2 linked regions of the Cricetulus griseus genome follow. The protein of the gene in region 1 interacts with the protein of each later gene in a pairwise test. Links are inferred from orthologs where the notes say so. Each region holds a gene or a part of one and is shown in the gene's direction. Other genes may lie near its edges.

Region 1 (3,984 bases):
GATTCATTTGCTGTGCTTTTTTTTTTCTTTTTTTATTAATTTTTTAATGTATATGGGTGTTTTTCTGGCATGTCTGTCTGTCTGGTGCCTGAGGTGGCCAGAAGAGTGTTGGACCCCCTGGAACTGGGGTAGAGATGGTTGTGAGCTGCCACATGGGTGCTGAGAACCAAACCTGGATCCTGGAAAAGCAGATAGTGCTCTTCAATACTGAGCCATTTCTCCAGCCCTCATCTGGGTATGGGGGAGTTGGTTTTTATTTACTTTTTTGGCAGCTGGGCTGTCTGCTTTTGGGAAGACCCAACCCTTAGACAAAACTGTCAGTGCTTCCTCTGTCTGTTCAAATGAGCTTAGTATTACTCTCTCAATAGCTATAAAACCTTGATAACTAAGTTTTGATGAGGACAATAGCTAGAGTCCAGGTCAACAAACACTGAATTATGTCTCCTCAGTTTGTCTTTAAGGCATGCCTTGCCTTGGTTTGACTGTTGCACTAGGTTAGGGGTTCTAGACTAGAACTGTGTAAAGTCTGAGAAGGTGGTAATGTCTGATGCCCTGTACCATATGGTACTGACGGTCACTGTGAGTGTCCACATTGCAGTCAGTGACACGTAAATACTGTACATTTTGTTCTCACTGTGTTCATTTCCTGGTCATTTTGGCAACCATTCCCTCTGTGAGGAGTTCATACCCATCCTTTGTTTTTGCCAGGACCTTTCAGGACCAGCATCAAATGGAGGGATCAGTCCCACCCACAGTTATGAAGCCCAGTATGAGAGGTAACTATGGGACTTGTCCTGATGTGGCTTTTGTCAAACCTGGGTTGGCATGGGCACTTGATACCGGGCATCTGTGTGGCTGCGCTCAGTGGCAGGTTTAAGAGTCAGTACACTTTCCTGCTTCTTCTCATCATGGTTACTCATTAAACCAACTCTGAACCAAATGCTGACTGCTTCACAGGTTAGGGCTACTTGCAGCAAAGCCCTGGTTAAATGGTTTCTGGTTGGCTTGGTCTTCTGTGAATGTGAGTTGCAGGTCTGGCTGGGTGAGGATAGATAGAGTTAAAGATGGTTGAGGAAGAGCTATAGAAATGGTAGAAACTGCAGTAGTGCCTCCTTTTCCTATGTGAGCACTGGAGGTCAGGCACCTCAGCTGTGCTTTCCAACAGACCAGAGTTCCATTCATATCCTAGTACTGGGTGATGCAGTCACATAGGCCCAGCAGCTCTATCACAACAGTGCATGACATCGTGCATCAGGAGGAGTGCTTGGTACAGTGTGCTTTTAATCACTAAGAATGTATTTGTCACCATTGCCTTCAGGATAGGAATAACTCTGTCCCATTCCCACCATAGGGCCATCCAGGAGAGCCTCCTAACCACTATGGAAGGTCAGTGCCCAGGTGCCCTCAGTGAGTCAAGCCGTTTTGATAGCGACCTACAGCTGGCCATGGAGCTGTCTGCCAAAGAGCTGGCGGAACAGGAGCTAAGGCTCCAGGAGGAAGAAGCAGAACTCCAGCAAGTCTTGCAGCTGTCACTCACTGAGAAATAGACATTTCTGTCCGGGGGCTCCTCTGGGCTGCATGGGAGTGCTTCATCAGCTGAGACCCTAGACAGAGGGCCTACACTTCCTGCAGACAGCAGCTGCCCCTTCCTTATGCAAAGGTGCAGGACCAGGAACTCCCCAGAGTGGAGGAGGGGAGCATTGGCAGGTCCCATCTCCAGGCTGAGGGGAGGAGAGCATTGTCACCTTCTTCCATTAGCTATCCTGGCTTGCAGGTCACATTTTTACTACCAGCTTTAGACAGAGACGCCAAGCCCTGCAGTTAGTAGATACATCTTAATCAGACATGATGACAGTTACTGCAGAGTCAGGGTGCTTTTCTACACGAGAGCAGCAGCCTTTGTAGAGTGTTCACCAAAGAAATGGGTTCTGCTGCCCTCTTTATTTTCCCTTCTGCCAGGGTTCCTAGGACATGGCCATTATTACTCCCCATCTGTGCCCTGTTCCATGCCCTTTACCCCAGCTAAGAGGATATGTACAGGATCTATTTTAGATTATGGCTAACTATTTGCATCAAATTAAGATATACAGATGACCACGGATGTTGCCTTAGCCTTAAAAATTATTAATAGTTTTAAGCCACCTCACTCCACACACTGAGGACCTGACTTGAGTCCGCAAAGGCAGTTAGTTCCTTTGGGAGCAGCATCCTCCAGGCTAAACCGAAGGCAGCTAATCCTGTCCTTAGGGGCAGCTAGGGGAATCCAAGGCTGGTTCTCACGACAGGCAAGCTGACCACTGGACAGCAGAGAACCTAGTCACCGTGGCGGTGCCCGCTCTGGTGAAGGATTTCCCACCGGGAGAGAGCCAGCACATGGCCTATTGTTAGAGAGGACAGGATGAACTTGAAACCAGAAGGGAGCTAACATGGAGTAGAGGCTCTTCATTCAAAAGGGAAAAGTGACGACTCCTCATTGCTTTTTAGAGTTCAAATCAACATCTTTCTGGATAAATATATTTTTTAACAGAATCTTTTTATTATTTTTAAAAGATATAAAAATGACTACTCCCATCAGTAGCAATACAAGGTTATGCATTTTAACCAGATTTTCTCAGGCCTTTTTTGGATACGTTTAGTAGTTAACTATTTTGTCTAACCCTCCTGTAAATACCTATTGCTAACAGACCGCCCCTGGGGAATACAGCCAAGGGCACCTTGCACCTCTCACCTGGTGCAGGCATTCACCCCCACAGGCTGCGCTGATCACATGGTAGTAATACCTTCCCATTTTGCGTCTGTTTCCTGTTACACTTCTTCTGGGGACAGGAAGAGAATCCACGGTCCCCAGAAATGTCTGTTTGATACAGTCAGTGTTGCCAGTAAAATGTTCTTAGACAAAAAGAATTGTGATTTTAATTCCTCATGGCCATCTGCCTTTTGTCATGGTCTAACCAAATTCCTTCCCTGTACATAAGGCCAGTATGGCCATCACATTTGTACTCAGCTTGGGGGTCTGTTTACTTGGCGTTTGCCAGGAGCAAAGACACTTGCGGGAATGGCTGCACTGGGCCATGTTTACTCACTAAAGTGAATCCTAGGTAACTCCTGTGTTTGCATTCCATTGCTCTGCTTTCCTGAAGTCTGACTGTGTCCCCAGGAAGTCACGTAAAAAGGTACTGAGCATTGTTGCAGCTTTCCCCATGTGTTTTCTCTTAAAATGCAAATAAATATGCTTCCACAGAGGGTACTCAGAGTCCTGACAGCCAGAGTCCTGTCTATTCCACAGTCTTCCTCTTGTCACTGGAGGACACAGTGCCTGCCCTTTACAAAGCAGCACACTATCACCCACCCCCAGCTTTCCTGCCCAGGGCACAGGCAACAGGCAACATTCCTCATGACTTGTGCCAGATGGAAATAAATGAAAAGCACCCAGTGTTGGACAGTTTGGATCCTCTTCACCTTGTGAAAGTGGTGCCTGGTAGCAGAAGAGAAAATGGGCCATGATCAACCCCGCTGATCCTGGAAGCCAGAGTGCTGGGGTACTATTTTTAAGGCTTTCAAGTGAAAATTGGGGCCTTAAAGGAAAAAGGCAGTGGCTGGATGACAGTGTTGGGGTTCTAGAAGGGGCTAGAAGGAACATGGAAGAGCAGCTGCTTTGGGGGAATAAGCAGTACTTGAGCCTCAAGCATCATGAAAAACAACACCCCCTTTGCAGGCCACGATGCATGCAGTCTAAGAACTGTTTCACACCAAGTAGTTCACCAAGGCTCATGCTCCAGTCACTTCTACCCAGGAGTGCTGTTGGCACTGAATACAGGTTTCTGAGAGACTGTTCCAGTCTTGTCACACTATAGAAAGTGCAGTGTCAAGGGAAAGTTGGCTTTGAATAGTGACAGGAACGCATAGCCAACAGCTTGACCTCAGGCTCCTCCTGACCATGATGACATCAAGGGAGATGAACTGGACTGTAGAAATTTTAAGTGA
Region 2 (4,461 bases), on another chromosome or scaffold:
CAGGTTTCTCAACAATTCTGCTTTAGATAATGCAGCTCCTGAGAGTGGAATGTTCTGCCAGCCACATTCTGATGTCCACTGACATAGGTCAGCAGCTCTTGACAGTTGCAGGTAAAACTGTGTCTGTTGTCTCCAAGGCACCCTGTGGGCTGGAGGTTCACAATGAAGTCCAATATAGTATCTGTTTCCAAAGCCTACAACAGAGACAGACATTGGCTCTTAGCTAAAGGTGATTTTTTTACCCCTCAGGGGATTTTAGGTAACATTTAGAGTTCAGAGATGCTGTGAATACTATATACATATAGGCTACTCTCAGTTCCAATTATCTGATGCTAAATGTCAGCAGTGCAGTTGGTAAGAAACTCTGTGCTTATGAGCAGAAATAATTAACCTACACGTGGGAAGTGACACCAGGATCTGTTGGGGATGGATGGCATCATTTGGTGGGTCTCAAATGTAGATCTAAGATACCTGTTGCTTACATGCAGCCAGAGAGGTCTGCATGTAAGGACAGGCCTAAAACTAAACCATAGCTAAATTTGTGCTCCTACCAGAGCAAAGCCTGTTGTGCTATATACTAATACTATTTTAAATATAGTAACAACTCCCCATCATATTCTTTGTTTTAAATGCATTAATTTCAGAAATGGAAACATTTAAACTATAGAGCACTAAAAATTTTGTTATCACTGTTTTGGCAGATTTTCACTTTTAAATGTGTCCCCAGATAGACAATTGTCTTCCATTTGGAAAAGTGTAACAGGCTTCTAAGAGGCGCAGTGAATTTTAATAATCAGTACTTGTAAGACTAATACTGATAGCCACACACTGCTCGATGTACCTTTACTCTTTTTTTCCCTCCTACTCTAGAGGCACAGACTATTAATCGCATTTTATTAGCAAGGAAACTGAGGCACAGAACAATTGAAGGAGGTACTTAGGCCCCACAGCTGTTAGGCAGTGGGGCCAAGCCAAGTTCACACTCTTATTTGAGAGTAAAAATATTTCAGGTGGTCTGTTCCTGTCAGCAATTATTTTCACCCACTTGAGCCCTGCAGCAACTGCACAACTGAACTCTTGTTCCTGGCTGGGGCTTAGCTTAGTGCTCCAAAAGCATCGCTGCCCGAGGGTGGAACTTTGCTGTGGTCCACACCCCAGTAGTGTTCAGGGCTTAGCGGAGAGAATGATGCACGCCTGCCGGCCTACAAGCGAGGGCGGGCCATAGGGCACAGTTTAGAGCACGCGTCTGGCTAGCTACGCTCCTATTGGCTCATGGGCAGTGGAGGCTCGGCAGATGGGCGGGGCGCAGTAGAGAGCACGTACTTAGCCGGCCGAGAGTCTACTGGCCCACCGAGGGGAGGCGTGGTTTAATGTATCTCATCTTTAGGGCGGGGCAAGTAGTGATCACGCGCTCCAATTGACGCACTCCTATTGGCCAAAGTGGGAGGCGTGGCTCTGCAATATCTGCGTCGCCACCTCAGGGCGGAGCTTCTGGGCGGGGCGCAGGTAGAGGCGGGCAATCTTCTTGAGTTCCGCGTTGTGTAGCGGCTGGCACAGCCGCACGTTCCCTCTTGACGTTCCGTACCGCGGGAAGCCTGTCAGGAGCAGGATGGCGGCTTCGGGGGAGGCGCGCCGGGTGCTGGTGTACGGCGGCAGGGGCGCGCTGGGCTCGCGCTGTGTACAGGCCTTCCGAGCCCGCAACTGGGTAACGCTGCGGGACGATCGCTGCGAGCGGCAGACCCTTGGAGTAGGGGGTGGGGGAAACTACCGGCCCTGTGCACCCGTGACTAGGTTACACTCGCATGCTCCTGTCTGTTCCAGGCCACAGGTGTCGGACCTTTGCCCTGCAAGGAGCGTGTGGTGTAGGTGCTCCCGAGGCCTCCTCCAGGCCCAGAAGGTCCAGTGTGACTCGGGAGGGCAGAGGAACGGTGTGAGCGAACTGGGAGAGGAAGGGCAGAAGGGAGACTCTGGAATTGGGCGGCCCTAAGTTATTAGCCCAGTGACCTTGAATTGATTAACATTCTCTAGCCTCAGTTCCCCTGTAAAACAAAATGACAATAATGTTCTGTTTACTCTTGGGTCGATTGTGAAGATTAAGTGAGATAACAGGTAAAAGCCTTTTAAGTGCTAGCTGTCACCAATACTGCAGCTAATATTATTACCAGTGTTGCTTTAGCCCTGTTGGATCTGGCAGTTGAAGGCTCAGCCCCGCAGTTGCTGACATCTTTGCTCAGTTAAGGATATTTCAACTATTTTGCCTAGTCAGGTGTCCACTCCCAGAGGACAAGTGGACATAGAGCTGACCTTGGCCCCAGCCTCTTAGCAGGGATCAGCACAGGAGACTTGTCCTAGAGTCATCCCTGAGGCTTGGAGCACCTACCTGAGAGTTTAGTTAGCAGAAGGCCTGGGCAAGGGATCCCCTGAGACCAGAGAGAAGGGCTCAGAATTTTGTTCTGGCATAAGTGTGATACAAGAGTAATAACAGTATCTGTTTAGAACATTGGAAGCCTGGGATGTCTTCCATGATCTTCGAAGATGGAGGGTGGAGACAAAGGCAGAATTGAAGGTGTGGGCTTTGTCTACCTCAACTGGGTCCTGTACTCATATCTATCTGTTTTCTCGGATTCTGACTTCATTGATTACCCCCCTCCACTCTGCTGGTTAGCTTTTATTGTCACATTGACAACCCAGAGTCACCCTGGAAGAGGGAGCCTCAGTGGATGAATTGCTCAGATCCAATTTGCCTGTGGCCATGTCTGTGAGAGCTTGTCTTGATGGATGATTGATGTCGGGGACTTGGCCTGTTATTTCTAGGCAGGCAGGCTGGGCCTTGGCTGAATAAGAAGGCAGCTGAACATGAACCAGGGAGCCAGGTACTAAGCAGTGTTCCTCCTTGGCCTCTGCATTGAGCCTGGTGTGCTGACTTACCCCAAATTCTCTTTTGTGGCACCCTAGGCAGGGCTGGGGTGGAGCCAGCTTTGTCTCAGTATTATTCCCCATGGCTTGTGGTATACAGGTAATGAGTGTTGTTGAATGGTGCTGTACTTGCAATTAATGGTAGATACTGACCTCTGGGGTCTTCAGCTTGAAGGACCCCAGAGGTTTCTGAAGTAAAACTCAGTGATGCCAAGAGTGAGTATCCTCCATCTCATTTTGTTTTTACTAACCATGTTAATCATTCACCTGTTTTCTTTAATGAAGAAGATTGCCACATTATGGCTGACTAGTATTAATACCTGAGTCAGTCATCCACACAGAAGGCCCATCTGTCTGCTACAGAGCAGGGGGTCTTCCATAGGACAGCTGCACAGCTATCCATCTCTATGCACCCAAGAGTTGTGAAGAGTTTTACACTTGAAATGGTTTTATAAAATGAAAAGAATAACAACATGTGGTATGTGTAGTTTATATTTCAGCATCTGGCATTTGCAAGGATGGCTGGTATGCCCCTCCAACTCCATATTGTTTGTAGCTGTCTCCTGTGCTAGTAGGTTTAAGTATTTGTGAGAGCTCATAGTCCAGCAAAGCTTTTTCTTCTCAATATGGCTCTTTGTAGAGGCTTTGCTGAATTCAGGTACTACTAGATACATGTTGAGTTTGGCCTTGAGAGTCCAGCAGAGAAGAGGAAGGAGCATGATGGCTTGGGATGAAGTGTGGTAGAAGGTGGGTCATCCACGGTCAGTGGTTCCTGAAGGGATGCCAGGAAGATCAGTTGTTATTTCCTTTCTCTAGTGGCTTTTTGTTTACATGTTAAGCAAAAATCTGAAATGCTTCTAAATCCGAAGCTTTTTAAGGGCTGTGCGAAGCCTCAGATGGGAAGTTTCATGACATGAAACCTATTGCATGTTCAAGATTATTGAAAGTACTGTGTAAAATTTCTTTCAGACTGAGTATACAATGTATATGAAATGTGCTTACCAAATGTGAACTTTGCATTTAAGCTCCAGTCCTATTCCCAAGATAAGTAAGTATATGCAGATATTTCAGAATCCCAAATTGCAACCTGGAAACATTTTTGGTCCCATGCATTTCAGTTTAAGCCTCTTCACTTTCCCTATTGCTCCTATTTCTGGGTGTGACTTTTTAGACAAGTAATAACTCACTGACTCTTAACCAAAACTGTTTTTCTTGCTCCAGTGGGTTGCCAGCATCGATGTGGTGGAGAATGAAGAGGCCAGTGCCAGTGTCATTGTTAAAATGACAGACTCATTTACGGAACAGGCTGACCAGGTAATCTAAAAGGTCCCTCACTGTGACAGGAGAGGCCCAGGGAGGGTTTCTCAGGCTGTGCTCTTTGTCTGCCAATTCAGAAATCCTCCAGAGGAAAACTTAGAAAAATTGAAAATCAAAACTTAAAGCAAAAACAAAGATAAATTTTAATTTTAGTATCAATTTCTGACTAGCTTTTTTTTTGTGTGTAGCTTTGGAGCCTATCCTGGCTGGCCTTGAACTCACAGAGAT

What was found.
Region 2: the proteins of Ankrd13a (region 1) and Qdpr interact in a two-hybrid assay, tested with the Homo sapiens proteins (2 studies listed by BioGRID). The two-hybrid records come from large-scale screens. The link is inferred for Cricetulus griseus from reciprocal best matches to the Homo sapiens genes ANKRD13A and QDPR.

Annotation. Positions count from the first base shown.
Region 1 is NC_048597.1:94,422,870-94,426,853, forward strand, and holds the end of Ankrd13a (ankyrin repeat domain-containing protein 13A), read left to right. Parts: intron 1-708; coding exon 709-776; intron 777-1,351; coding exon 1,352-1,547; 3' UTR 1,548-3,254; downstream 3,255-3,984. UniProt on the Homo sapiens protein: Ubiquitin-binding protein that specifically recognizes and binds 'Lys-63'-linked ubiquitin. Does not bind 'Lys-48'-linked ubiquitin.
Region 2 is NW_023276807.1:114,014,921-114,019,381, reverse strand, and holds the start of Qdpr (dihydropteridine reductase), read left to right. Parts: upstream 1-1,512; 5' UTR 1,513-1,609; coding exon 1,610-1,705; intron 1,706-4,137; coding exon 4,138-4,230; intron 4,231-4,461. UniProt on the Homo sapiens protein: Catalyzes the conversion of quinonoid dihydrobiopterin into tetrahydrobiopterin.